Linked DNA regions of Drosophila melanogaster. The protein of the gene in region 3 interacts with the protein of the main gene of each other region in a pairwise test. Each region holds a gene or a part of one and is shown on either strand. Other genes may lie near its edges.

Region 1 (9,632 bases), on a different chromosome or scaffold from region 3:
ATTATTATTATGTGTACGTGAAGATGAAATCTACAATATATCATTTTGTTTATGATGATTGGTGATTGATGATGCAAATAAACAAAGTGAGTCTTGAGTTCAACTCTGTTCATTGTAAACAATTTTTTATGATTATTTTTTATTTTTTAAATAAAATTATTATTTCAATTTGTGCATGCGTTTTATTTACACATTCGCAAACCAAACACACCAAAAAAAAAACAAACCAATATAAAAACCGAATGAAATATAGAACGTAAGCAAAGATATGATACAAATATATGGAACCCGCTACAAATTTGGAATCTAGATATACCTCCCATGAAAAGTACATAATGTTGCATAAGTTACAATATATTCAAAGTCTATATAGGATAGTCGAGATTCGGATTGACGATATTTGAAGTCGAGATCACATATTTTAGATAAAGTCCAGTCGGTGTATTTTGTAGTTCTAAGACACCATTTCACGAGGTCTCAGTTTATGAGGTTTCCCCCAGATCATGGATTTATATGTATGTCTATTTATTGGCGTAGATCACCGCATCTACCATTATTACCTAGCGTAAATCAGTTATTAGTTGTTAGGGAATGAATATTTAAATGTTATAAGACCTTAGATATAAGCACACCCACAACAAGAGCAGCATCGAACCAGATATGCAAAAATCACGAGTCGAGTACAACGAAATCGGTAAACAAGAATCTGAGCCACAACCCGGATAATGCAGCTTTAAATCGAGATAGTACATTTAAATTTCAATCTCCTATTTCCCAGAGAGCTCTCCTTTCACTTCGATAGCCTAAATCAGTTGGAGACTCCAACCCGAAAGCATTTATACATGCTAAGCACGATAATTGTACATATACAACTTCTGGACCTCATGACTCCACTCGATTATAAACGTATTTTATATGTATACACCAATTATTTGTTAGATTGGATAACCCCGAATGGCTGGATAAGACCAACTAAATTATATGCAATAGAATATCGATGCCGTTGGGCAAGATTTCTATGCTAGGCTAAGGCTAAGACAAGATATCTTTCTATTGGTAACTCAAAAACGAAACGAACTATATAGCTTTTAAATGGAAACGTGCGATTATTCAAAGGTATTCTATGCCGCCTGAGAATAGTAGAGATATGGATTGGCCTAGATTTAGACGAATATGTTGAATGCATTAACATTAGATACGATTAGTTTTTGACTTACTAACCTAAGTTAAGTTTTTAGACTGTTTATTTCACTTTTTGTTCAATCTTTGTACATTTGACAGACACATTTTAAAAATGTCTGCGATGAGAAATCAGCTAAAGCCAGCCACAATATATATAATATATATATATATACTTTAATGCTTATGTAGTAAGGAAACGAACGTTGGATCGAAGTCATGGTATGTAGGTGAATTTTATGGTTAGAGGCAAGCGCAAGCGAACGGATTAGATTAATTTTTATAAGAATGCATTAAGAAAAACGAAGCAAGTAACAGTCACAAGCTAGCATAATTATTTACTGTTATGACGACATAAGAGTTTTAAGGTTTTTAGCTAAATTTTGTATATTTTAATCTACAAACTATAAATATATATTATCTGTTTTATAAATAACAATAAAAAATTCATATGTGTTTTTATGACAGATTTCAAATGGGTAGAGCATCGCTCTCAAAATGTATAGCCATTTTGAGCTGTACAGGAATTCGGAATGTCTTTTTTACTACTAGTATTATTTCTTATGATTCGGTCGGTTATGGCTTATACGCATAGACCAATAACTCTACATATCCCCACCCACAGAAAGAAGTCACAAAATCTGGGAGGCCAATTACAGGTCCAAAACGTTAGATTAGTCGGTCACCATTAAATCGATTGTGGCACGAGCTGTGTGACATATTGCGTCCTCTTTTTGGAACCACAGGTCCTGGACATCATGGTTGTTCGATTCAGGAATGAAAATGTTGGTAACAATAGCCCTATACCGATCGTCATTTACTGTAACGTACTGGCCATCGTCGGCTTTGAAGAAGTACGGACCAATGATTCCACCAGCCCATAAAGTTTTTCTGGATGTAACGGTGTTTGAGGATTGGCTTCAACCGAAGTGCTGGTTGTCCGACTAGGTATATAAACATATACATAACAACATTTGGATATTTTGATAAAAAAAAGTCATGCGATTAAATGAAGGTGCTCAAAGTACATATATAATATGTCCATATACATATAATAAGATATATTTAAGATGGGACTGTTCAAACATATTAAGTACAAATTCGATTCCCCCGGAATATACGTTATTTTTTAATTGAATAAGAAGGGAAAAAATGTTGACATTGTGATATTTCTACATGTGTTAGCGAAATGTAAAGTTTAAGGTAAGTTACTTAAAAATGTATTTACATTTATTTGAATATCTACCTTACGATTATTAATCGATAACATAAACAGTAGAATCAATGTTGCCATATTTTAAAAATAATATCGATAATGCGAAATAAACATCGGTTTGGAAAGCCTTATCGATCTGGCAGCCCTGCCGACGGCCATACTTGAAAATACATTTTTTTCTGCAAAGTTTGTCATTGTCACTGTGTGAATGGAATCTGTGATGTGTTGTGGAATTAAAAACGTCGAGTAAACGACCCGTAATGGTTAAAGTGCCCGGCGAAAGCAGTGCGAATAACTATGAATTGATACGAAAGTTGCATAACACGTCGCCTGGTGTCGCGGTTAGTGTGTTTTTCGTCTCGTTTCGTTTCCGCCGCAGTCGCAGTTTCCAGAAAACCTCACCACACCATACCATCTCCACCACGCACACACACACACAAACAAACACGCAGAGACGCGGCGGCGGAAAAAGTGTGCGGACCGCGGATTTAACCCCTCGTTCCAAACCCAAATTGGAGTCTCCCAAAAACAGCGAAATATCGAGTGTGGCTTAGCCGATGTGCCGTGCGATCCCCACTGCCCCTTCCGTACCGCTGCCACCCCCGCCACAGCAGCAACGCACACGGATACGGACACAGACACCAATACCAGCGCACTCAAGCACGGCCGACAAAGAAAGAGCGCTCTCCCTTCCTCTTCGTACAGTTAGTTCCTACAGCTGAATCAGCCAAAAGGGAATTACTAGGTCCATTCCGAGGCGCAGTTTGCATGTGAAACGGAGGTCCCCGCATAACCACGCGGAACCCGAAATCCCAGATCCCCATCTCCGCTGCACGGATAAAGGAAACATACAACCATGAGTCTCCTAGCCACGCCAATGCCCCAGGCGGCCACCGCCTCATCTTCTTCATCCGCCTCCGCGGCCGCCTCGGCCAGCGGGATTCCAATCACCGCCAACAACAACCTGCCTTTCGAGAAGGACAAGATCTGGTACTTCAGCAACGATCAGCTGGCCAATTCGCCAAGCAGAAGATGCGGCATCAAGGGCGACGATGAGCTGCAGTACCGCCAGATGACCGCCTATCTGATACAGGAAATGGGTCAGCGTCTGCAGGTGTCCCAACTGTGCATCAACACGGCCATTGTGTACATGCATCGGTTCTACGCCTTTCACTCCTTCACCCACTTTCATCGCAACTCCATGGCGTCGGCGAGCCTCTTCTTGGCCGCCAAGGTAGAAGAGCAACCGCGGAAGCTGGAGCATGTTATTCGGGCCGCCAACAAGTGCCTGCCGCCGACCACCGAGCAGAATTACGCCGAACTCGCCCAGGAGCTTGTGTTCAACGAGAACGTGCTCCTGCAGACGCTGGGCTTCGATGTGGCCATCGATCATCCGCACACGCATGTGGTGCGCACCTGCCAGCTGGTCAAAGGTATGCACCCACCATCCGACCCAAGCCATGTCCCCTTCACATGTCAGATGGTACTGATTACTGTGGTATATTTTAGCATGCAAGGATCTGGCGCAGACATCGTACTTCTTGGCCTCGAACAGGTATGGCTAGCAATGCGCTACTCTATGGTGTAATCCCTCCTAGAGATCGCCCCCAACGCAAATACGGCTGTGGTATAAGCAATGTGTGTGTGTGTGCGGGTGTGGTGTTGGCCCAATCCTCCCCAGAAAGTGGTCAGGCTGTAGAGAGTTCGATCCCTGACTTTTTGTGGCTAAAATCTTTGGGCAGTTCTTTTACCTGCTTAATTCCTCGCTTATAGCTAACAAACCCAGGTATGTGAGTCGAAACAAAAAAAAAAAGTGACGACCCCAAGTCACAAATCGAACAAGAACACGCGGTCCCTAATCGCAGCAGGACGTCTGTACAAATATCGCATCTTAGCAAAAAGGCAGTATTTTCCGTGTCCCTCGCGGTAATTATCCTCAGTTGCCTGCAATAACATTGTAATTTGTGTCGGAAAATCCGCCAAATGTCAAGAATAAGACTAATTCCTAGAAAGAGTCGTTAATTCCTAGAAAAAGATATTTGAAGAATTGTAATGATAACCATTGTAATCCTTTGGCATACTAAAACATCTGGAAAAAAGATAAATTCAGTTTGGCATACCTGCCTACCTAAAACATAGTCAAAATTCTGATTACATGAGGAGAGCTCATTGGGAAAATTTGCGCATTTCGAAATATCGGCAAACGTTTTAGAATAATTCTTTTAAGTTTAAGATCCCCAAGAAATAAAAGAGACTCGCTAAGAACATGCTAAGAACTAAAGACGTAATCTGTATTATAAGTGATGAAATCCCCCTGCACACACTCACCGAACTACATTTATATGTGATATTCTTGCAAAAGATTTCCCACTAAATTGACTTAACCATCCTGGCACAGCCTGCATCTGACCTCGATGTGCCTCCAATATCGCCCCACGGTCGTAGCCTGTTTCTGCATTTACCTAGCCTGCAAGTGGTCCCGATGGGAGATCCCCCAGTCGACCGAGGGCAAACACTGGTTCTACTATGTGGACAAGACGGTCTCGCTGGATTTGCTAAAGCAGCTGACAGATGAGTTCATCGCTATCTATGAGAAGAGCCCGGCCCGTCTGAAGTCTAAGCTTAACTCGATCAAGGCGATCGCCCAGGGAGCCAGCAATCGGACAGCTAACAGCAAGGACAAACCAAAGGAGGACTGGAAGATCACCGAGATGATGAAGGGCTACCACTCAAACATCACGACACCACCAGAGCTGTTAAACGGCAACGACAGCCGGGATCGGGACCGAGATCGTGAACGGGAGAGAGAGCGGGAACGGGATCCGTCGTCACTACTGCCGCCACCGGCTATGGTGCCGCAGCAAAGACGACAGGATGGTGGCCATCAGCGCTCGTCCTCAGTGAGCGGAGTGCCAGGCAGCAGCTCTTCGTCGTCTTCCTCCAGTCACAAGATGCCAAATTACCCTGGTGGCATGCCGCCCGACGCTCATACGGGTAAGTATTTCAACAACTGCAAAAAGAATCACATTTTTAACATCTTCGTATTGAAGATCACAAGTCAAAGCAGCCGGGCTATAACAATCGAATGCCCTCAAGTCACCAGCGTAGTAGTAGCAGTGGACTCGGTTCCTCGGGAAGTGGCAGCCAGCGCAGCAGCTCATCCTCGTCGTCTTCAAGCCAGCAGCCTGGCCGACCGTCTATGCCCGTGGACTATCACAAATCCTCTCGCGGCATGCCGCCGGTAGGCGTGGGCATGCCACCTCACGGCAGCCACAAGATGACTTCGGGCTCCAAGCCCCAGCAGCCGCAGCAGCAGCCGGTCCCACATCCATCCGCCTCTAATTCCTCTGCATCGGGCATGTCCTCCAAGGATAAATCCCAGAGCAACAAAATGTATCCGAACGCACCGCCGCCATACAGTAATAGTGCCCCTCAAAACCCGCTGATGTCGCGTGGTGGATATCCAGGCGCTAGCAATGGATCCCAGCCCCCGCCTCCCGCCGGATACGGCGGCCATCGCAGCAAATCCGGCTCCACCGTCCATGGCATGCCGCCTTTCGAGCAGCAATTGCCCTATTCCCAGAGCCAGAGCTACGGCCACATGCAGCAGCAGCCAGTGCCTCAGTCTCAGCAGCAACAGATGCCTCCGGAGGCATCCCAGCACTCGTTGCAGTCCAAGAACTCGCTCTTCAGTCCAGAGTGGCCAGACATTAAAAAGGAGCCCATGTCGCAGTCGCAACCACAGCCTTTTAACGGTTTGCTACCCCCTCCTGCGCCTCCCGGCCACGATTACAAGCTAAATAGCCATCCGCGCGACAAAGAAAGTCCCAAGAAAGAGCGACTAACGCCAACCAAAAAGGATAAGCACCGTCCTGTCATGCCCCCAGTGGGCAGTGGGAACAGTTCCTCCGGCTCGGGATCATCAAAGCCGATGCTACCGCCTCACAAGAAGCAGATACCCCATGGCGGGGACCTGTTGACCAATCCTGGAGAGAGTGGAAGCCTAAAACGGCCCAACGAGATCTCGGGAAGTCAGTATGGACTAAATAAGCTGGATGAAATAGATAACAGTAATATGCCTCGAGAAAAGCTTCGCAAGCTGGACACTACAACTGGACTACCAACTTATCCGAATTATGAGGAGAAACACACGCCTCTGAATATGTCCAACGGAATCGAGACAACGCCGGATCTGGTGCGCAGTTTGCTAAAGGAGAGTCTGTGTCCATCGAACGCTTCGCTCCTGAAACCGGATGCCTTGACTATGCCTGGCCTGAAACCACCGGCCGAACTGCTTGAGCCCATGCCCGCACCAGCGACAATCAAGAAAGAACAGGGAATAACTCCGATGACCAGTTTGGCTAGTGGGCCCGCACCCATGGATTTGGAAGTACCCACTAAACAGGCCGGAGAGATTAAGGAGGAAAGCAGCAGCAAGTCCGAAAAGAAAAAGAAGAAGGATAAACACAAACACAAGGAGAAGGACAAGTCCAAGGACAAGACGGAAAAGGAGGAGCGTAAGAAGCACAAGAAGGACAAGCAGAAGGATCGTAGCGGCAGCGGTGGCAGCAAGGACAGTTCTCTTCCCAATGAGCCTCTGAAGATGGTTATCAAGAATCCCAACGGCAGCCTGCAGGCCGGTGCGTCAGCTCCCATTAAACTTAAGATCAGCAAAAATAAGGTTGAACCCAATAACTACTCTGCAGCGGCGGGTCTGCCTGGCGCAATCGGATATGGCTTGCCTCCAACTACGGCTACCACCACATCCGCTTCGATCGGAGCAGCTGCTCCTGTTCTGCCTCCTTATGGTGCCGGCGGTGGTGGCTACAGCTCATCGGGCGGCAGCAGTTCCGGTGGCAGCAGCAAGAAAAAGCACAGCGATCGTGACCGCGACAAGGAGAGCAAAAAGAATAAGAGCCAAGACTACGCGAAGTACAATGGCGCTGGTGGCGGCATCTTTAATCCCCTTGGCGGTGCTGGCGCCGCACCCAATATGTCTGGAGGAATGGGCGCCCCCATGTCTACTGCTGTACCACCATCCATGCTGTTGGCGCCCACCGGTGCAGTACCACCCTCTGCCGCTGGGCTGGCACCGCCTCCCATGCCCGTCTACAACAAGAAGTAGTGGTAGCGGTCAGAGGGTTATTCTTAAGTCGTACGTTTTGATATATGTATAGAACCTCAGTAAGTCCGATTGTAGTATAGTTGTTAGGATTGTTAGTGAGATGCATTATTGATTTTAGTTAAGCACATAGATAAAACTCCAAATTGGAAGTGAAACCGGATGCGCAGATCGAAGAAGAGTGGAAGTAGATGTCGCGATGGGGCTGGACGTAAAAGCAGTACTCAAATCGCGAAAACTTTTGTACAGCATTAATTAATTTATAACTATAATAAATAGCATACATATAAGCCCACATACATAAAAATACGGAATAGTTTTAAGCGAATTGTTGGCAAACGGAATCAGAGACCCAAGCAGAAAATTCACAGAGAGCAGCAATGGCCGTCTAGCGTTTAAGTTAGCAAATCAAATACCCGTTTCACACACTCTAACCTGTATATAGCCACTCTCACAAACACACAATCAAGAGATATATAGTACAGACTTCCGCTTAGCAAATATACTAAATACGGCCCCAACTAAATGCAAGCCAGAGAGATAGAAAGAGTAAGAACTTCAAAATAATCCCCACAGAGGAGCATATAGTTGTGGCAGAGGATAGGAGAGTAAATGGAAAGCCAGCGCTTTGATTCAAAATTGAAGACGCCAAACCACATAATGAATTATTTAATTAATACATAGTTGCTAATCCGAAAATGAATGAAGATGTTTATTTTTAGTTAGCAAAGTTTTCCCTTCCTTTCTGAACGATTGCCCGATTACTAACCGTGTTTCAATATAGTTTTCGACACCTAGCAATATATACAGTAGTGTATTTACACTTTTCAATGAAGATAAGTAAAAAGATCGGATTGTTTCAGCGGATGATATTATGTTTCAAGATCGCCTGGAACGTTGACGTAGCTTTCATTTGTTTTAATTTATTTTTTAAATAGCATTACAAAACAAATTACCACAACAAAAAAAAAACCAAAACAAAAACAAATAATAAAGTCCCAAAACAAAAACGGAATATGCAAACAAAAAAGAAACCCAAAACTAAATTTTGGATAAAACAAAAGTTGTTGTGCAAGAAAACAAAAAGTTTTAAAATTATGTAAATGCAAGCGAAAACGTTGCAAGCAAACTAAGCTAAACGAACGAAAAACTAACAGAAGGCTAAACGAGGAGAAACAAAAGTTAGGCATATAGAAATCTAGGCATGATCTATATATTCGAGGCGAAAATGAGAATGAAATGAAATTTTATGTAATTTTCGACTAAGGCAAAGGTTAAGCGAACGTTGCGCGTTTTTCAAAACTATTCGTACTCGTATATTCGTATTCGATTTCTCTACTACTGCATTAAGCTGCAAGCATATATAGCTCTAAACACACCACACATCCATTCACACACCATCCATCCCATGCAGTCGAGAAACGTATTCTTTAAGTTGGGAACCCGAGAAACCCGTTTTTATAATCGATCGAAAGAATGCGCAATTTGCGTCTAAGATTTGGATTTCCCTTTATATACTTATTCTTGGCCCCTTTTACCACACTCCCCGCCCACGCCCATCCCCACCCCTCGCCCCTCCTAACTTAAGTTTTTGTACATACTTGGAAAGCAAATGGAAAACCCGCCGCTCGGGTGGCGGGCAAGTGTCGGGTTTCATTGGGATTGTTTGGTTGTGCGTTCGAATATGAATTCACTCGTCACTTGCACGCCCCCACGAGGGCACAAATAAAAATCTTCAAAACCCCGCAAAATTCTAAACAAAAAACTATAAAAATGCAAAAAATAAACAACAAAAAAATCAGGAAAATTAAATGATATGTGTTTTTCTTGCGGTGCTTGGGGGAACTTCTTGTTCAACTTTCTGAGCGAAACTTCAGATTCTTGAAAACGGTCCAAATATTAATTAATTTTGTACTTAAAATTTTAACTAAATTTATTCTAAATATCTCATTTGTTTCGTTAGCAAATAACTCTTAAATAATTTAAATAAATATCTTAACTAAAATAGGATTCTAATTTGGAAGAGAGAATTTGTAATTTAGATGCATTTTAATGGAGTCATAATGTACTTTACCGCTCTTTAGAGTGTTTTAATTATCCAGTTTATTTAAATCA
Region 2 (4,980 bases), on a different chromosome or scaffold from region 3:
CTTGGTGGGTCATAGTTGTAGCCAGGATGGTCATGGTGATCATGGTGGTCATGACCGAACAAATGCGAGACATCAGCGGCTACCAGAGCCAAGCTGCAAACAGCCAGCATAAGGACTTTCTGAAATATACAATAAAATCAATTTAACACGCTGAGCTATTATCCTTGGAGAGTAAACACAAACCATTTTTCTGTTGGAACGTTCTTGGTGCGACGACGGCCTCTACCGAAGTGATACAGTTTCCGGCAAGTGCTTCTTTATTTATACAGTTAGAGAACCTGAACCTGAATCAGTGGTCGCTATAAAGCGATCGCGTCACGTTATTACCTCTGGCCAACGCCGACGCCGCGAGAGACGATCTGACTGCGATCCGTCTATATCCAAATGGCCCGGTTGTCAGCTAAGCGGCGTTTAGGGGTCTCGCCCCTTTGGCAGCCGGTATTGGGAATTGGCATTCAATTTTTATTAAATCTCTTAATTCGAAGTCATCTCGTTGCGTTGGCTTTTGTTTTTTTTTGGCCCGACCAGGGAGCTCTTTATGGCTGGGAGCCATAAACGTGTTGGGTTTTACGATCACCGCTGCGTTTGCCAAGTACTTAAAATAGTTTTTGGTTAGGCAATTATTGGGATAAATAGTTTATCGTACTTTTGGAGTTGTTAGACTATTTATTTCGTATGCATTAGTCATCATGTACCTAAGAAATGTATAACATTATTGATACATCACTATCAGGTTTTAATTAAAATGCTTAAAGACAAAATGAAAGACAAATCAAGTGTGCTATTAAAGTAACCTAATGTTTAAACATTTAAACTTTAACCCTTTTCAAAAGAGCATACTCAATTCGTTAGGGGCTTAATTATTTATTTCTGTCTAATCTTTTCATGGCACCTTTAAAAGACTTGCCCCATCTCTGGGCAACATTGAAAGAGGTCAACTGTCGTCCCATTGCCGATGGCTGCAATTGGCGATTAGCGATTTTGGTTCGGTTTGAACCTTTCTGTAACCGACACCGATCAATCCCTATAAATATATTCAAACCAAAACTCACATCATTTTTCATCCAAAAAGACAGTAATTATCGACACTGCAGGTGATGATCGAGCTGAACTAAAGCTAAAACCGAAGCCGTTTGGCTATTTCGGTTGATTGGCCGCAATTAGATTTGGAGGTCAGATTGAAATCCACATGGATCCCTTGGGGGCTGGGTGACAGCAATTTGGGTTTGATATCTTTGACCTTGAGGATGGGGAAAGAGTGCGAGTGGTGTAATACTCCATTTTATTTTTTGTTAAAAATGCTTTTAATGTGTACAGCTTAAAACTAGATGCAGTGCTTGTGGTTTGGTTTTTTTTCGGTGGTTGATTATCCTAATGCCTGAAACGGCGAAGTGGAGGCTTGTAGTGGTAACCAGGCTCGGCGTCGTGGATTGGACTTGGTGCAGGGCCCAAGGGCAGTGCATAGGATGGAATCGGTATGTGGAAATCTACCTCAGGCTGGGGTGGCAGATATTTTTGTTCGGGCTTAGGAGGCAGATACTTCTCGACGGGCTCGGAAGGTGGCAGGTACTTAGTCTCCGGCTCGGCAGGAGGAAGATACAGCTTCTTGGGAGCCACTGGTGGGGGTGGAGGTGGTGGTGGCAGACTGGGTGCAACCTTGGGTGGCAGATACCTTGCCACTGGAGCAGGTGGCAGATACTTCACCTCGGGCGTCGGAGGAGGAAGGTACTTGGACTCTGGCGGACTGGGAGGCAGATATGTGGGCTTGGGCGCCACAACTGGAGGTGGTGGTGGAGGAGGCAGGCTGGGAGCGACCTTGGGTGGCAGATACTTGGCCACCGGTTCGGGGGGCAGGTACTTCACTTCAGGCTTTGAGGGAGGCAGATAAGTTGCCTTGGGCGGTGGAGGTGGTGGCGGTGGCAGGGAAACCTTGGGCGGCAGGTACTTCTGGCGAGGTTTCTCTGGAGGTCCATAGCTATATCCGCTAGGGATATCGAACTTGGCCTCTTGATGATGATGATGGTGGTGATCCGGCTGATAGTGCAGATCAATGTGCAGATCATGATGATCGTGTGACGAGGGAGAATGGTGGTGGGAATGGACATCATAGTGGTGGTGATCATGATCGTGATCGTGATCATGGTGGTGATGGTGATCATGGCCGTGATCGTGGTAACCTCCTCCGTACAGGTGGGACACGTCTGCCCGAATACAGATGGCAAAGCCTGCCAGAGCCAAAAGGATCAGCATGGGTTTCTGTAAAATAACCAACCTCCTGTTAGGTCATCTTTATTAGAGAATATGCCGCTACTGTTTACCATTTCCTTTAAGAGATAATCCACCGATCGAGATGATGTTGCTGCCGTTTGATGACAGCAGGTAGTAATGTCAATAACGTCGATGGTCACCGCTTTTATACAAAGATCGCGCCTTCCTCGACCGGCTGGCTATTTGGTTTTCTTCACACTTTTCTTGGTTTTCATGAACTTGAGGTCGGCCAATTATCGGCGTGTGTTATCTCCCTCTACCCCAAAACAATTAATGCGATTTCGACCAAATTAGCTCTGCACAACAAAGCAGCTCATGAATATGCAGCGGATGCGACGAAATCCCAGACAATTGACGGTGATTGACTCGGCCATCTGTACCACTTTTGTCCCATCCCAATAAATATTTGGGAGATACCGATGCTAATGGGGTTAACAAAACAGCGTTTATTGAGATGGCTTTAACCTTATATAAACCTAAGCCTAGTGGAACGATTTAAAACAAAACTAATCCGGGGAAATCTTCCATGTTCAGTTCGATCGCGATTTTGCTCAGAAGGTGAACTCTTGGGCGGGCACATCGTAGTGGTAACCCGGTTCCGGTTGTGGTGGTGGGGGTGGAAGGTACGTGGGCACTGGCGTGGGTGCAGGTGTCGTTGTGGTTGTAGTGGTGGTGGTGGTAGTGGTACGCGGTGGTGGAGGTGGGGGAGGAAGGTAAGTGGGAGCAGGAGTGGGAGCGGGAGTGGTTGTCGTGGTAGTGGTAGTAGGTGGAGGGGGAGGAAGGTAGGTAGGAGCGGGAGTAGGAGCCGGAGTGGTTGTGGTGGTAGTTGTGGTTGTGGGCGGAGGAGGAGGTAGGTAAGTGGGTACTGGTTTGGGTGGCAGATAAGTCGGTGGTGGCGGTGGTGGCTCCGTCGTCGAGGTAATCACAAATGGTATCTCCGGCTTGGGGTAGTCATAGCCATAGCCATGCTCATGATGCTCCTCCAGGAGTTCCAGCGGCAAATGCGAAACATCACCGGCTGCAAAAGCCAGCAGACAGGTAGCCAAAATGAATAGCTTCTGAAATAGGAAAGAAATCGTGAAGTTCAGATTGCTTCTCATATCTACAACTGACCACACTCACCATCTCCTTTATGATATGTCTAACACCTTGAGCTCTTAAACCACAAATGATTGAGCGTTTGCATCCACGTCGGTTTATTTATAGTCAAAATTCTAAAACAGATCGATACTGTCCATGGCGCTCTAGAGGCCAATTATTATCATTTAAATCGATATAACACCGCTAGCCCCACGGCATTCTTTGTATCGGTAAATGTATCTGTATCTGTAGCGCTCTCCGCAGCCATGTTTATATGAATGATTAGCGCCACAATAGTGCGCCGAAGTTGACAGAGGAGCAGCGTCAACATCGCCAACTTTGTTTCGGAACTATTATGCCTATATGGGGCCCTACTGAGCCGTTTTTCATCAACGTCGTCACTTGGGTTTTCATTGTTACGGTGTTAAAGGTATGACCAAACTTCCGACGGAACCTGGGGCACAAAAGCTTAGCACACAGAAAAACAGTCATAAATTCATAAAAATTCTGAGCAGATTTTGAATCAATTTGAAATAAGTAATCAGCGAGTACTTGCATTCTGATATGGGTTGCTACATATTTTAAATGTTAATTAATGAAATTCATTCATACATGAAAGGTACATGCACTTAATGTTATTTATTTTAAGCTAGTCAAGCTAAATTTTCTCTCAGTGCATCTGAAGAGGTAGTTCCGTCGCTGGAAGCGTTGTAAGCGTGCTCTGCTGGCTGTCATAAATCATTTAGACTTCATTTATAATAATTATGGCTCGCGCTGCCTTTTGCAACTCAAGAAGTTTGAGTGGTCAGAGTTTCATGGACAGATGGACAATGAAGCTGTCTGCTGGACATGATCTTGCGGAAGCAATTCAGTTACAGATCAGTCGAGTTATATAGCAGAGGCGGAGAAGATGGTAAGGAGCTTAACGGCCACGGAGAACAAGGAAAATTAAGACTATTTTCAAACTAACATTTTTTTAATGGTGGTAGTCAGAAGATATCGAAATAGTTTTAGGAGAAGACCTATGTTTATAGTGAATGAAATTATGAACAAGTCTGGAAACATTTAATTTTATTCTTAAGGAATACTTAAATATTATTGTTTGAACAGTTTAGACACGGTGTTTACAAAACTAAAAAACTATTTTAAATAATGTCTGGATTATTTAGAACTCTCTATTGATTGGAGACCAGCCGCCTTAAGTTGACTAATTAGTTGGATTAGCGTCTTCGGCTACGATTGTATAAACAAACAGACGATACTGGTCCAGATTCAACTATCACTTTTATTTGACCGCATGCCAAAAAATCAATGGGTTGTTGAACTGCATAGTAGAGATCGAACTGATCGATTGTCAAGTGCCGGAATTGGATGGCGTGTGCTGAACCATCCTCGTTTCTGCTCGCCTTTGGCCAAAATGCGAGTAATTTATGCCGATTATGGAATTAATTGTCGTTTTTTATGGGCATTCATCTCAGCGTTGGCTAGGCCTCAGCAGTTTTGATCTATCGCAAATCTCTGCGAATTTCGTGATTCCTCAACCGGTTTGGATTAGAAATATTTGGTCGAGCAGAGACATTTTGTGCTTTTTATGAATACACTACTCTAAGCTGTGAATCTCGTTCTGAGCCA
Region 3 (6,447 bases):
CGGCATCAGGTTCAGTATGGTCTCCGTCTCGATGTTGTCGGGACTGTGGGGAGTAGTGCATCATATTATCATATCGTTACATATAGGCTCTGCTAAGACCCACCTCTGCTGCCTCTCCCTGCAGGTCATCCACTCGAAGTATCTGTACTGCATCACCCGCTTGGGCACAAAGTCCATGCAGTAGTTGGTAAAGTCCACCACGCTGCGATTGCGCTGCGGCAGGTTGAACACTATGATGCAGTAGCTGCAAGTAAATTTAGTTTAAAAGAAGGCGCACACACATAACTCTGCATTGGCGCTTTACCTCAGCTCCCGTTCATCCGGTGAGCCATTCCATGCAATGGTGGCTCTGCTGCACCGCGTTCGCACATTGAAGACTGTCGTGTTCTGCGGCAGCTCGGGCAAATCCCGGAACAGAGCCTCGCTGCTCAGGGCCACCTGTTAAATAGGGGTATACATTACTTTGGGCCAAGCCACATAGTCCGCGGACTGATTATCTCCCTACCATGACCTTCTGAGCTCGCAACGCCTCGTCATCGTTGCTGGGCTCGAACCGCATGAGATAGCGCTCCCCTGGTAGGACTCCCTTCTGCCGAATGTACGTTGGACTATAGAAGGCCTCCGTTTTCCCCACCTCGCTGCGTTGCCGTAGCAGCTTCACCCGGATTTCGCTGCCCGAGCAAGGGATCAAAAGGTGCCTCATGAACGGCTCCCCCAGCTGGCGAGTCGTCTGCGGAACCTTGAAGCTGTACACCTGCTTCCCGTGCTGTCCACCGATCTTGAGTTGCATCAGAGCCTGCTGCTTCAGGGCCAGAGGTTGGGTGCGGTTAAAGTTCACCTGGCTGCTGGCCAGTCGCAGGGTGAGGTTCTGTCTACCCTGGTGGATTCCGAACAGGTCCAGATGGTAACTGCTCCTCGGAAGAAGGCGTCGCAGCAGCTGTTGGCGCCTCTTCCCCGTGCACACGATGTGAACGTTCTGCCTAGGATTAAGTCTCCTTTCCCGCTGGGGTGGAGCACCCCAAATCCCTTCCAAGGGACCGCCTGCGGCGCAACTGGGAGTCATGGGCTGCTGGTCCGTGTAGGCGGACACCGCCTGGCAGAAGTTGGTGAAGATCATCCGCGGCGTGTCCATGGAGAGTCTCTGAATCACCAGGCAATAGTGCATGACATGGAAATCAAACTTGCTGAAACGATTTTGAATAATCATAAGTTATAAGTATATCCGTGTAATAAAATCATCTAGATCTCACCTCCTTTCCCACTTGACGATCATCTCGCGCTTCCGCACGCGATTCTGGGTGCGAATGGCGATTCGGTGCGTGGCGTTGAGGAGGGGCCAGTCGTGCTGGGGATGCTCTGCCAGGGCGTCCACCTTGAGGGCTCCCGAGTGGCGGGCGAGGACGAAGAGGTCGTACTGGCCACGCAGGGCGCAGGGCAGCACCAGACTGCCCACAGCCACACCTGGCCCAGGTGCCACTGCCGCCGGCCGAAGGGGGTTTCCTGCAGAGGCGGTTGGGTGGCGGGTTAGTGGCGGTTGGTGGCGGTATGCGGCTCCTCAAAGGGGCGGACTTACCTGTCTGATTGTAGTACATCTTGCGGCCCACGGGCGCCGAAAAGCGAATCGTCAGCGGCGTCGAGTCGTTCAGGTTCAGCACAAATCTGGAAGACGGAGAACGAGATGAAGGCGGCTCTTCGAGGGGCGGAGTAAGTGAGCTGTTAACGCCCTTTGTCAAAAATGATGACACTAAATTATCACACGCAATTTGTTTTGCCGCCTGTCTGAGCCGAACTGAACCAAATGAGTCAGCGGCTTTTGGCCATACCCTCCCTGACTAAAGGATCAGCTTGGTTAGATAAGTCGTAACTTATAACTTATAACTTAACTTAACAATAACTAACTAACTAACTAATGAAATAACAATGGTGTCAAAAAGAATCTCATTTTGTATCTCTCACTGCATACTTTTAAATCACCTTTGGTATACAAGTTGGCTTAATTACGGGGCATCCGAAAGGGTATACCCTCTTCGGCTATCCTTGTCCTTTCGCCAACTTTGTTTATCCATCTTCGCTGATGCCGCTGCAACTTTGTTGCAGCCAAAGATTGCGCTCAAGTCCCCTGGGCACTGGCCCTTTGCTGAATTTGCTGGCTCTTGTATTGTAATTAAATGCGAAATTTACGAGCAATTTTTCTAATGACAAACTGCTAAGACAAATGAGCTCGCCGATACACCCACATGGACACAGGGAAACAGGGAGCTTCGAGCTGGCAAGGATGCAGTTTCCAAAGGGGCAGGACAGGATGGCCATTCCATTGCAGCAAATGACTCATTGACTTGGCGAGATGGTCGGCCATCTCGAGTTTTATTTTTATGACCGGCTACTTCCGGCCAACGCCATGGGCCATCCTCCTCGTCATCATCCCCCGCAATCCGGACGAGCGAACAGAAGTTGGTGCGCCACATAGCCATATAGCCATTATACCATGCAGTCCGTCGTATTTTTGGCCGCCCTGCCAAAAGGTTCGGATTGATGGAGTGTTTTAATGCATTTCGACCATTGTTGGCGGTGGCGCCGCTGCGACTGAGCAAATATTTGCTTTAATTTAAGCCTTGCATGTTGCAATGGCGATTGTTTGTTGTTTTCTGCTGTTGTTATTATTGTTGCTGGGGGCATCCTCGTTGTCGGCACGCTGACAGCAGTCAATTATACAAGGCAAACAACGGCCAAAGGCGAAAGTTGAATGCGCTTCCGGACGCGAAACTCCAGAATGACTTAATGCACTTTTACAAGCCAGCAGTGGTTGTTTAATGGACGGATTATCATATTACAGCGATTTGCGATGGATCAGTCAGAGGCACTGTGTAGTGTTAATACTGTTCCAGACCCCAAACCGATATACCCAAGCAATCAAATGTAGGACATCAGTCACATCACCTTCCCACGGAAACTCACACCAGCCGCAGTTAATTCGCAATTGTCCGACGTGACAGAAGCAATAATGTGGTGTAATAATCCGGGTCTCATCATCATCATCTTTCTGGGGCAGATTTTAAACCTGTGCCAGGGGATAGTGAATCTTTCGAATGAGACGGCCAACACGGTCATCTTCATGCTGCCCGAAAAGGACTTGGGTCCCGATGTGTGGAAGGCTGGAGTGGGCTGCCTCGATAGCTTCGCCCAAATCTTCTTCTTTCGCAACCCGAAGGAGCGCTTCACCAGAGCCTATAACTTGATGCTGGTGCACGCCTTTCATCTGTCCAGTCCGGCGGATCAGATCCAGGAAGGATTCAGCAAACTGATCAACGAAGCAGTCACGAATCCAGGGCCGCCGGACAGGGAGGAACTCTTCCAAATGCGCGTGGCCAGTGATTACAACATCACGAATGGGACCGAAGACAAGGGAGAGCTGATCCTAGCGGACAATTATGTGATAGTGGTGGACTCGGTGGATCGATTAAAAGAGCTAATGAAGAAAAAAATTGTCGAAATGCGATCCTGGAATCCAGGAGCGCGTTTTCTGGTGCTCTTTCATAATGCGACTTGTCGGAATCGACCGCTTGGCGTAGCCTCCAATATTTTCAAGGACCTCATGGAAATGTTTTACGTGCACCGAGTTGCTCTTCTCTATGCCAACTCCACCATGAACTACAATCTGCTGGTCAATGATTACTACAGCAATGTAAACTGCAGGATTCTGAATGTCCAGAGCGTGGGCCAGTGCCACGATGGCAAACTTTACCCCAATAATGCTGTCGTTAAGGCCTCCATGCAGGACTACGTATCAGGATTCAGTCCCAGGAACTGCACCTTTTTTGCCTGTTCCTCCATCTCTGCTCCCTTTGTGGAGGCCGACTGTATCCTGGGACTAGAGATGAGGATCCTGGGGTTCATGAAAAATCGACTGAAATTCGATGTGAGTATTTAACACTTTCATACTTCAAGATCGTCTTGGCTTGCAAAAGTCCTGCTTATTGTGCTAAGCTAACAACTATCCTATTTTCCACTGGTAAGGTAAACCAAACCTGCAGCCTGGAGTCACGTGGTGAAATGGATGGCCCAGCTAACTGGACTGGATTACTGGGGAAAGTCCAGAACAACGAGTGCGACTTTGTCTTCGGCGGCTATTATCCGGACAACGAGGTGGCGGACCATTTTTGGGGATCCGATACCTATCTGCAGGATGCGCACACGTGGTACATAAAAATGGCCGACAGAAGACCCGCCTGGCAGGCGTTGGTGGGTATTTTCGAAGCCTACACCTGGATTGGATTCATCCTGATTCTAATAATCAGCTGGCTGTTCTGGTTCACCCTGGTTATGATTCTTCCGGAGCCGAAGTATTACCAACAGTTGAGTCTTACGGCCATTAATGCCCTGGCCGTCACCATATCGATAGCCGTCCAGGAACGACCCATTTGCGAGACGACGAGGCTGTTCTTCATGGCCCTGACTTTGTATGGCCTGAACGTGGTGGCTACATACACGTCCAAGATGATAGCCACCTTCCAGGATCCCGGCTACCTTCACCAGCTGGACGAGCTGACGGAAGTGGTGGCCGCGGGTATTCCGTTTGGCGGCCACGAGGAGAGTCGCGACTGGTTCGAGAATGACGACGACATGTGGATCTTTAACGGATACAACATTTCGCCGGAGTTCATTCCGCAATCGAAGAACCTGGAGGCGGTGAAGTGGGGCCAGCGGTGCATCCTGAGCAACCGGATGTACACGATGCAGAGTCCCCTGGCGGACGTCATATACGCCTTTCCCAACAACGTTTTCAGCAGTCCGGTGCAGATGATCATGAAGGCGGGATTCCCCTTTCTCTTCGAGATGAACAGCATCATCCGCCTCATGCGCGACGTGGGCATTTTTCAGAAGATCGACGCGGACTTTAGGTACAACAACACGTACCTCAACAGGATCAACAAGATGCGCCCCCAGTTCCCGGAAACGGCTATCGTCCTGACCACGGAGCACCTGAAGGGACCCTTCTTCATCCTGGTGGTGGGCAGCTGCTGGGCCGCCCTCACGTTCATTGGCGAGCTAATAATCCACAGATGGCGAACCCAGCTGGTCAGCACGAGCGAGCAGCAGGACAGGAGGAGTGACAAGAGGAGGAGGAGGAGGAGGAGGAGGAAGCCAGAAAAGGATAACCGCTGGCAGCGACAAGTTCAAGTGGCTCCAGTCGTTCGATTTACGCCAGTCAAACGACGCAAAGTTTTCCAGGGACAAACAAGTCAAAAGTAAACTAACCCAAACTAACTCCCTAGATGGCTGCGATAAAATTGACTCAATTCACATAAATTTGCAATTGAGAGACACTGACTCTGACTCTGACTGGCAATCCCCAAGCCCGTCCCCCCGTCCTTCATCCCCCATCCTCCATCCTCCTGCGATGTCTGGGGCGCTTGTCTGGTCTATAGTCTATATAGTATGGCATAGTGTAGTATAGTATAGTGTGGTTGGTCTGGCCCGTGCCGTTCGGGTCGCTTCTGTTACTTTTCACGCGAAATACTTAAAATCAGAGACAAAATTCTATTTTTGCAAACAACAACGGCGGGGAGTCTGTGCCCGTGCCTCTGGGATTGGCATTGGGATTGGGATCGGGAATGGAAGTGGAGGCGGGCAGGGCAGTGCGCAGTGGACGAGCTCCTCGCCCCGCTTTCCGCAAATTGACAATCAGCCTCAGCTTTCCCAGCTGCTCTGCTGCCGGAAAACTCTGGGCGTAAACAGAGATAAAGAACGAGTTAAGCAGATATCCCTATAAGTGGCGCATTCGCTGATTGCAAAGGAAGTTACTGCAGGGCAGCCAAACAAATATCGCTCGGATATCAGATGGCGCAAGTTTCAGTTGGAAAATATCCCAAATGGAATTGGAAGTAGCGCCACGGAGCAGGGACAACTTTTGCGGAATTATGTGAGTTACGGGAAATAAATTCGTTGATTCTTGGCAATTCCCATTGAATAGGTAGTAAACTAGGTTGATGAAGCGTAAACCATTCGAATGAAATCAATAAAAAGTAATGAATAAAATTGAAGAAGGTACGCAGTACGATTTCAAAACAATAACGAATGACCAGTTTAATGGGATCTACATAATCTATAATTCATATAGATTTCAGAATTCAAAAGGAATCCGCCAGATACTAGATATTTGGAGTCATAAATCAGATGGCGCCTTGGAAAATTCCCATGGCAACTTGTTGAGACAATTCATCATCTGTTTCATTAATGGATCTTGTGGCCGACATTGAGTGCCGCATGAGTAATCATCTGCCGGCACGGGAAAGCCAAGTGGAAGTGAAGTTCGCCCACTAGCCCATTTGTCTCCCGTTTCACTCGTGATCCTGTTGTCGGCCAAGAACATAACAATTATTTGATATCTCTATTATTCCGATACTGATTCTGTGAGTGATTCACGACGCAAACAATGCGAAACAAAGA

Evidence for each region.
Region 1: the proteins of Ir60a (region 3) and CycT interact in a two-hybrid assay, tested with the Drosophila melanogaster proteins (one large-scale study listed by BioGRID).
Region 2: the proteins of Ir60a (region 3) and CG15022 interact in a two-hybrid assay, tested with the Drosophila melanogaster proteins (one large-scale study listed by BioGRID).

Annotation. Positions count from the first base shown.
Region 1 is NT_037436.4:17,550,692-17,560,323, reverse strand, and holds CycT (cyclin T), read left to right. Parts: upstream 1-2,535; 5' UTR 2,536-3,251; coding exon 3,252-3,828; intron 3,829-3,904; coding exon 3,905-3,950; exon of another isoform or gene 3,951-4,181; intron 4,182-4,492; exon of another isoform or gene 4,493-4,793; coding exon 4,794-5,389; intron 5,390-5,445; coding exon 5,446-7,520; 3' UTR 7,521-9,320; downstream 9,321-9,632. UniProt on the Drosophila melanogaster protein: Regulatory subunit of the cyclin-dependent kinase pair (CDK9/cyclin T) complex, also called positive transcription elongation factor B (P-TEFb), which is proposed to facilitate the transition from abortive to production elongation by phosphorylating the CTD (carboxy-terminal domain) of the large subunit of RNA polymerase II (RNAP II).
Region 2 is NT_037436.4:4,457,927-4,462,906, forward strand, and holds CG15022 (uncharacterized protein), read right to left. Parts: upstream 2,392-4,980; 5' UTR 2,322-2,391; coding exon 2,319-2,321; intron 2,257-2,318; coding exon 1,372-2,256; 3' UTR 1,267-1,371; downstream 1-1,266. Other genes in the region: CG11345 (uncharacterized protein), read right to left, coding at 1-119, 184-186; CG15023 (uncharacterized protein), read right to left, coding at 2,820-3,326, 3,391-3,393.
Region 3 is NT_033778.4:24,247,858-24,254,304, reverse strand, and holds Ir60a (ionotropic receptor 60a), read left to right. Parts: upstream 1-3,001; coding exon 3,002-3,916; intron 3,917-4,014; coding exon 4,015-5,250; downstream 5,251-6,447. Other genes in the region: nord, read right to left, coding at 1-43, 104-244, 305-438, 506-1,184, 1,251-1,500, 1,574-1,659.